2 linked regions of the Mus musculus genome follow. The protein of the gene in region 1 purifies or fractionates together with the protein of each later gene. This does not show direct contact. Links are inferred from orthologs where the notes say so. Each region holds a gene or a part of one and is shown on either strand. Other genes may lie near its edges.

What was found. The genes of interacting proteins can lie anywhere in the genome.
Region 2: the proteins of Nfkb1 (region 1) and Lrpprc purify together in Homo sapiens (affinity purification with mass spectrometry; 3 studies listed by BioGRID and IntAct, with this or other methods). This does not show direct contact. The link is inferred for Mus musculus from reciprocal best matches to the Homo sapiens genes NFKB1 and LRPPRC.

The regions. Positions count from the first base shown.
Region 1 is NC_000069.6:135,587,349-135,590,701, reverse strand, and holds part of Nfkb1 (nuclear factor NF-kappa-B p105 subunit), read left to right. Parts: intron 1-213; coding exon 214-386; intron 387-1,197; coding exon 1,198-1,375; intron 1,376-3,353.
Region 2 is NC_000083.6:84,749,242-84,752,898, reverse strand, and holds part of Lrpprc (leucine-rich PPR motif-containing protein, mitochondrial precursor), read left to right. Parts: intron 1-125; coding exon 126-170; exon of another isoform or gene 171-174; intron 175-476; coding exon 477-590; intron 591-1,544; coding exon 1,545-1,675; intron 1,676-2,305; coding exon 2,306-2,391; intron 2,392-3,657. UniProt on the Homo sapiens protein: May play a role in RNA metabolism in both nuclei and mitochondria. In the nucleus binds to HNRPA1-associated poly(A) mRNAs and is part of nmRNP complexes at late stages of mRNA maturation which are possibly associated with nuclear mRNA export.

The DNA of each region.
Region 1 (3,353 bases):
GCGAGGGTGTACTGCAAACCGTCTAGATCTTATCTCAGAATCTGAGATCCCTGGAGGTGTGGCCCTGAGCTGCTAGAAGCACCTACTGCTGCTGCTGAGCAGGGCCTCTGGACTTGGCAGAAGCTTGGTGGCCTCCATCAGAAGTTGGACAATGACCTGTCCTCTCAGATTGATTGTCCCTGGAAGGTTAAAGCAGTCATGTTTCTTCCTTAGGGGACATGAAGCAGCTGACAGAAGACACGAGGCTACAACTCTGCAAACTGCTGGAAATTCCTGATCCAGACAAAAACTGGGCCACTCTGGCACAGAAGTTGGGTCTGGGGATACTGAACAATGCCTTCCGGCTGAGTCCTGCTCCTTCTAAAACTCTCATGGACAACTATGAGGTAACGCGCCGCCGTACCATTTAGAGTTGTCTGTGTAACTATTGGTAGTTGACCGTGTCAGCTCCACTGAGCAGCACAGCCTACCCCCTTACATAGTAACTTTATGGAAGGAAACCAGTCATTGCCTGGAAGGCAAAGGGAGCCAGGCCAGGATGGCGCCTTTTTCTTGAGAAGACTGGTTACCCGTCTCTCGGCATTCCCTGTTTTCAAATTCTCAGAGCCTTCCTGTGAAAATACTACTGCCCACAGGATGGGGACCCCTCCAAGCTGTGATCGGTGTGTGCATCCCTGTTTGCAAGAGGGAGCCCCCCAGGGCCATGGCTTCATTGTTCTGTCGGGTGACTCCTATTAGAGCAATTCCAAACTAAAAAATAGACAAACATGGGCGAGCTACTCCGAATGAGGCTGTCATTGCTAGCTGCTGTCTTCCCTGGATTTCTGTGCGTAGACATCACCGTAGGCAGTCTCCTGTCTCCTGTCTCCATGAACTCACAGGCTTCTTTCCCTTCCTTCCCCTCTTTTTTCTTTATCTCTCTCCCCCTTCTCCCTCATCTTCTCCATCTCCTTCATCTTCTCCATCTCCCTTATCCTCCCCTTCTCCATCTCCCTTATTCTCTCCTTCACCTCTCCTGTGATTTTTCTGAATGGATTTGATCCAAGATGGGAACTAGAACCTAAGCACTGTGTTTCTTCAGGTTCCTTCCCTGCCCTCTCCAAACCCCCCAGCTCTCTGGAGCAGACACAGAGAAGGGACGCTAACAGCCTGCAAACAGGCTGGAACACACGAACATACTCTCCCTTTTCCTACCAGGTCTCTGGGGGTACCATCAAAGAGCTGATGGAGGCCCTGCAACAGATGGGCTACACAGAGGCCATTGAAGTGATCCAGGCAGCCTTCCGCACCCCGGCAACCACAGCCTCCAGCCCCGTGACCACTGCTCAGGTCCACTGTCTGCCTCTCTCGTCTTCCTCCACGAGGCAGCACATAGGTAAAGAGGCTGAGAGAGTTCCTTTCCTCGCTGGCAAGGTCTTTGTGCTCTGGGACGTGGCACTACACTCCCTTTCCCTAGTCTTTTTCCTGACATGTGTTCCTCTGTGGCATGCCACCCGCTCCCTCCCCACAGTGCTCCTCTGCGCACACAGGAACAGGCAGTTCCCACAGACACTCACATTGGCATATAGGTCACTTAGAATCCCAGTAGACACTGGACATGGCGGGGAGGGTTAAAGAAACACTACTTCTCATATTTGTTAAATTTGGAGAAAGATTCTAAGAAAGGTGCACAGCCCTGGGCCACAGGACAAGAAGTAGGACCCAGGAAATATGCATACTGTATGACCCTTCCTTTCATGCCACCACCCTCAGGTCCCCCACCTCCTCCCTCCCTCGGCACTCCCCGTCCTTCAGCTCCCACCCTGCTCATGGTCCTGCCTTTGTCTTCCCACACTAACATCCACCTGTCACCCCCAACACATGCATTTGTACGAATGGATCTCGGTACAGGCTTGAATTATGTCATTGTTCCCGGCCCGTGCTTTCTCTAACCTCTGCACCCTTTCTTCTTGTTCATTTTCTACCCTAGCCACAAACTCCACTGAGACCAGGAACAACTAGCATTCTCCCATCTTTGTATTATGCCAGCACCCGGGTGGCAGGCCTTCCATCTGGGCTCAGTAGGTTATGTCTGCCTTCCACCTGGGGCAGTCCTCCCCTGGGAGCCTGCCTGTCACCTTCAGCAGGTCCTGGACACCTGATTCTTGCCTCTTTGTCCTGTACTGTCCTTCCTTCCCCACCTGCTGTGGAGAACCTCTTGCTAGGATGTAACTTCTCATCTTTAAACACTGGCCCGCCTGGCCACAGGCTGCTTAGCCCCGCTTTGATTAATGTTACATCTCAATGAATGGCTTTGTCCATTGATAGCGCTTTGGTTAGCTCATGTTTTCACGTTTGTATGATACATGCTGTTATTTTTGTTCGCATTTCTCATATGGGGGAATCTACAGGTAAACACAGCCTCCAAGTTCAGTAGAAAAATGTCATCATTAAGAGTATTATATCCAATAAACAGTAAACAGATTTTTTAAAAGAGAAAGAAATTTAGAGAAAAACGAGACATCACTTCCTTGTTACACCCTTTAGTTGAGTTCAAACTTCTCAGAAGAATATGATAACTGCTGGTCAGCTCACCACCTCTGTCTGCCATCTGCTTCTGTCCCCTCCTCTCCTACACTCTCCTCCACGTTGCCCGATTGACACTCATCCTGTCACAGCTGATAGCCCTCACTCACCAGTGTCCTCTCAGGGCCTTGTCACCCACACCCACCCTGCTGCCTCCTCCTCACTCCTGTGCATGTATGTGTGCACTGGGGTCCTTAGGGCATTTTTATACATACTTAGTTCTGGTTTATTCTCATGACTCCCTCAGCTCCCATCGCCCCAGCCCTGGACCCTCTACTCCCTCCCTCCCCCCCCCCCCCCGCACTCGCTCCCTTCCCATTTTCACATGTGTTCCCTACCCTTTCCATCCCTTTAAAGCCTGTTTTCCGCCCCCTGGAGGCCTTTGCTAGTTTTCTGGCCTCTGCTCACGCTCACTTCCACATGAATATACATACGTGACTGTTGGAAGCTAGGATCCACACGTGAGAGAGAACGAATGGTATTTATGTCTCTGGGCTGCCTTGATTAGTATTCTCCATTAACCTGCAAGTTTCATCTCTCTTTACGGCCGAATAAACTTTTATCATCTTCACACAACTCTTGGCTCTTGCACAAACTCATACTGGCCATGACTGTCAAAAGTATAGCCAGGCTGTAACAAAATCTAAGAGTGGCAATGAATACTTTCTGGCATTCAGGTCCTCATGCTTAACCCTGAAAGGGCATCTCTTCTTGGCAGATGCCAAGTTCCACCCATCCTCACTGCTTGCCTGAACTCCAACAGTGGCTCCTAGTCAGCCTCTTTGACT
Region 2 (3,657 bases), on another chromosome or scaffold:
CCTGCAAAAATTTAGAAAGGTAGCATTAAAGTGAGGTGGGGGCTTGTAAAATTTGCCTTTAATATTCACTAACATATTTTCCCCTATTTTTTCTAATTCTGTACTAATTTGATTCCCAATTTTAGGATATTAAGGTTCTGGTTGACAGAGAGAAGGTAGATTCTCAAAAAGTAAGTAGTATCTGACTTTGTTGGTTTTTTTTTTTTTTCACTGCTTCTAATGAGAATTCTAAATAGTGTCCCTGCAAGGGATCTTGTCTGTCTCTGAGATGGTAAATCTATTCGCCATCCCAGAAGAACATGAACATCTAGGATGATCTAGGAGAGAGTTGTGAACTCCCCCCCTCTGCAGACCTGAGATTAATATTTAATATCCCTTGGGGCATTTATGACAGAGAGAGAAGCAAGGCACTCCCAGGGCTGAGTGATAAGGGCTGTATTTCCTTTCCGTAGTAAACTTTTGTTCTTCCCATGTAGACTTCTCAAGTTACCTCATCTGATTTGGAATCAACACTTGAGAAACTCAAAGCTGAAGGCCAACCTGTAGGATCTGCCCTGAAGCAGCTCCTGCTGCTGCTCTGCTCAGAGGAGGTAACCCTGACAGTCCTTTCCTTTTCACGCGTGCGTGCTTTCGCGTGCTTTCGGGGTGAGACACTCTATAGACCACAGTAAGTCAAACCAAGTATAATGTTTATGAATTTTACACTTTATTATTATGTGTCATGCTTGAGAACGGTTCAATTAAATGAAAGGCTAACTAATTTCAGCGACACCTTGAATGACATGTTTTCAGGTTGCTGTAGTTTTGTTTATGATAATCTGCAAAGTGAATGATAGTAACAGCGTGATAGGTTTATCATACATGCCAAGTGTCCTTTCAAGCCATGGCTCCGGTCTCTCATATCCAGATTGTCAAGCAACTGATCCATGCTGGAGTCATTTGCAAGTCAAATACAACACGCTTGTTAATGCAGGGATTGAAATTCCATTTCCTGCTAGGAAAAAGCTTTCTGAGATAAAGGGTCCCTTGCCTTCTCCAGCAGGCCTGCAGCTGCCCCTTGTGTTCGTGTTAGTGTGTCTGCAGTTTGTTCTGTATCACTACACTTGGGAGTTTCTGCTTGAATAGGATTGTTCACATGCCTGTGAATGTTTAGGGGAGAAGTGTACTGTGACTACACTTTGAGATGACGTCATGGCCCTGTTACATCCCAACCAGGTTTCGTCACATTGCTTGTATTCTGAACTATCTGAGGGGCTTTTCAGTTCTGTAGATTTCTACCTCTGGAAATTAGACTGCTAGAGAAGACTTGGAAAATAGTGTAATAGTCTAATTTTAAATTACAGATAAGAAATCTTTTAAGCCCTGCATATATATATAAAAACTGGCTTGCACATGCACACCCTTAGGGGCAGAAATAAGAGTATGAAACCATTTTTTTTTTTTCAAAATACTGTCAACTTTTTTAAAACTCTGAACAACACAACAAAAAAATCATGGTATTTTACCTTTTTTTTCTCTCTTTTCACTAAATCCTTTTATTGTAGAATATGCAAAAGGCCCTTGAGGTGAAAGCAAAATATGAGTCAGACATGGTTATTGGTGGCTATGCAGCATTAATAAATTTGTGCTGTCGACATGATAATGCAGAAGATGCGTGGAACTTGAAACAAGAAGTGTAAGTGCCTTGCAACTGGAATAAACCAGCAGATGTATAAAGTGCCCTGATGCACTGAATGGATTGAAGATTGCTCTTACATTCTTGTAAAAGTTCTTTTGTTTTCAGTGTTTGTTTAAGTCCCATGCTGGAAGGGCTCCTTGGTTACTGATGTCATACTTCCTGCAGGGCCTTTTCAGTTTAGTAGAACATTCTAGTTCCCAAGCCACGGCATGCGGCAGCGGCTTCCAGTGAGCTGCGGCCCGTCCGTTCCCTTGCCCTGTAGTGCTGCACACAGTCCTGTCTACCTCCAGGCAGCTTGCGTTTCTTTACTACCAGATTCTAACATGGAGATAAGTAAGTGTAGGTATTTGGGTGGTCACAGTGAAGGCTAGAACATGAAAAGACCTGTAAAGACAAAGTGTGTCTTCAGTATCTTCCTGTGCAGCCAGGCAGTGTGTGCTTCTGCAGTCCTCCTTATGCATTCATGACTGTAAATAACTTCGAATTGATACATGGTTTCAGACACGTTATGTGTCAAGGCGGGTATCGCAATGCAGACTGTTTGGTTAGTTTTTGGAAAGTGATCAATTGACTATGACTGTCGTTTTTATAGTTAATTGACTCCCATAACTCTGGCTTATTTTATAGTGACCGCTTAGATGCTTCGGCTATTCTTGACACTGCCAAGTACGTAGCCCTTGTAAAAGTACTGGGAAAGCACAGCAGACTCCAAGGTAAGCCCCAGGACATGGGGGAACTCTGCGATGCCAGTCCTTACCCTGGATTCACACGTGAATTGATATTAATGGCTATCATGCTCTACAAAGTGCTTGAACACTTTGCATACAAATTTGCATGTGAATCCGAGCAGCGACTGCATGGGCAGTGCAGGCCATTAGTTTTAATGGATAGGCAGGCTTGTCATTTACTTTTGCACAGCTCAGTGCCTTTTGCATTTCTGCAGCTAGTTTTTATTAGCATTGCTGTTTGGACTGAGTTTGAAGATCATGACTTATGGCACAGTTTGCTTATGTGCCTGCACTAATGGCTTTGTTTTTGCTTAAAAAGATCTGAAGGCTGAACCTAAAACCTGCAAACACAACCTGATAGATATGGACCTGAACTGCCGAGTTTTGCCTTAACCTTTAGTAACAGTAACAAGATGGATATTTTAGTTGAAAAGCGAATTTGATTACATGGATGATTTACATGCTCTAATTTCCTCGTTGGAAAATTGCTAACCCTAATAATCTAATTAATTGCACTTGCTATGCAGTCTTCCTGTTGCTAGTTCTTGGTCCTCTTAGCCTGGTACCAGAACTTGGTCCTTACATTTCCTCTCTTTTATTTTCAGAAGAGACGGAATGGGAGCTTTTTTTGATTTGAATGTTGACATTTTTCCTAGGAAGTCTTTCTAACACAAATTAGTCTGCTTTTTAAAATTAGTTTTTGTAAAGTGGTCAAAACATTTTGTCTGTATAATAATTGAGAAGAAACATTATAAAAGTGCACTTATTCCATATTCTAAACTGTTTGTTTGTACCTTCCTAATGAAGCTTAATGAATCTAATGTATTAGTATGCAGTCTTTTGGAAAGCTTTCATTGGCTCTGCTTGGCTAATTAGTATCGACATAGCAAACAGGCCGTATCGGTATCAGACCATTAGTCTGGCTGAAGATACAGTGTAAACACATCTTTATTATCTGGCCTCCTGACAAGCCATCTGCCGAAGAAACAATGGTGTGATTTAGCAGATGTTAGCTCTGAACGATAAAAGCATCCATTTAGCAGGATCTTACAGCTACAGGGCAGACCATGCAGGGCTGCGTGGTGCAGAGTGGGCACACGGTCCCTATCTGTAATTTGTAGTCAAAGTTGCAGGGAAATGATAAAACCATGCTATTGTGGATTTATAATTGTAGTCTCGTTTAGAAATGCAAGTAGTAATTAACTCGAAATCGGCATTATACACTAGAATTTACATTCCTGCTGGGCTCGA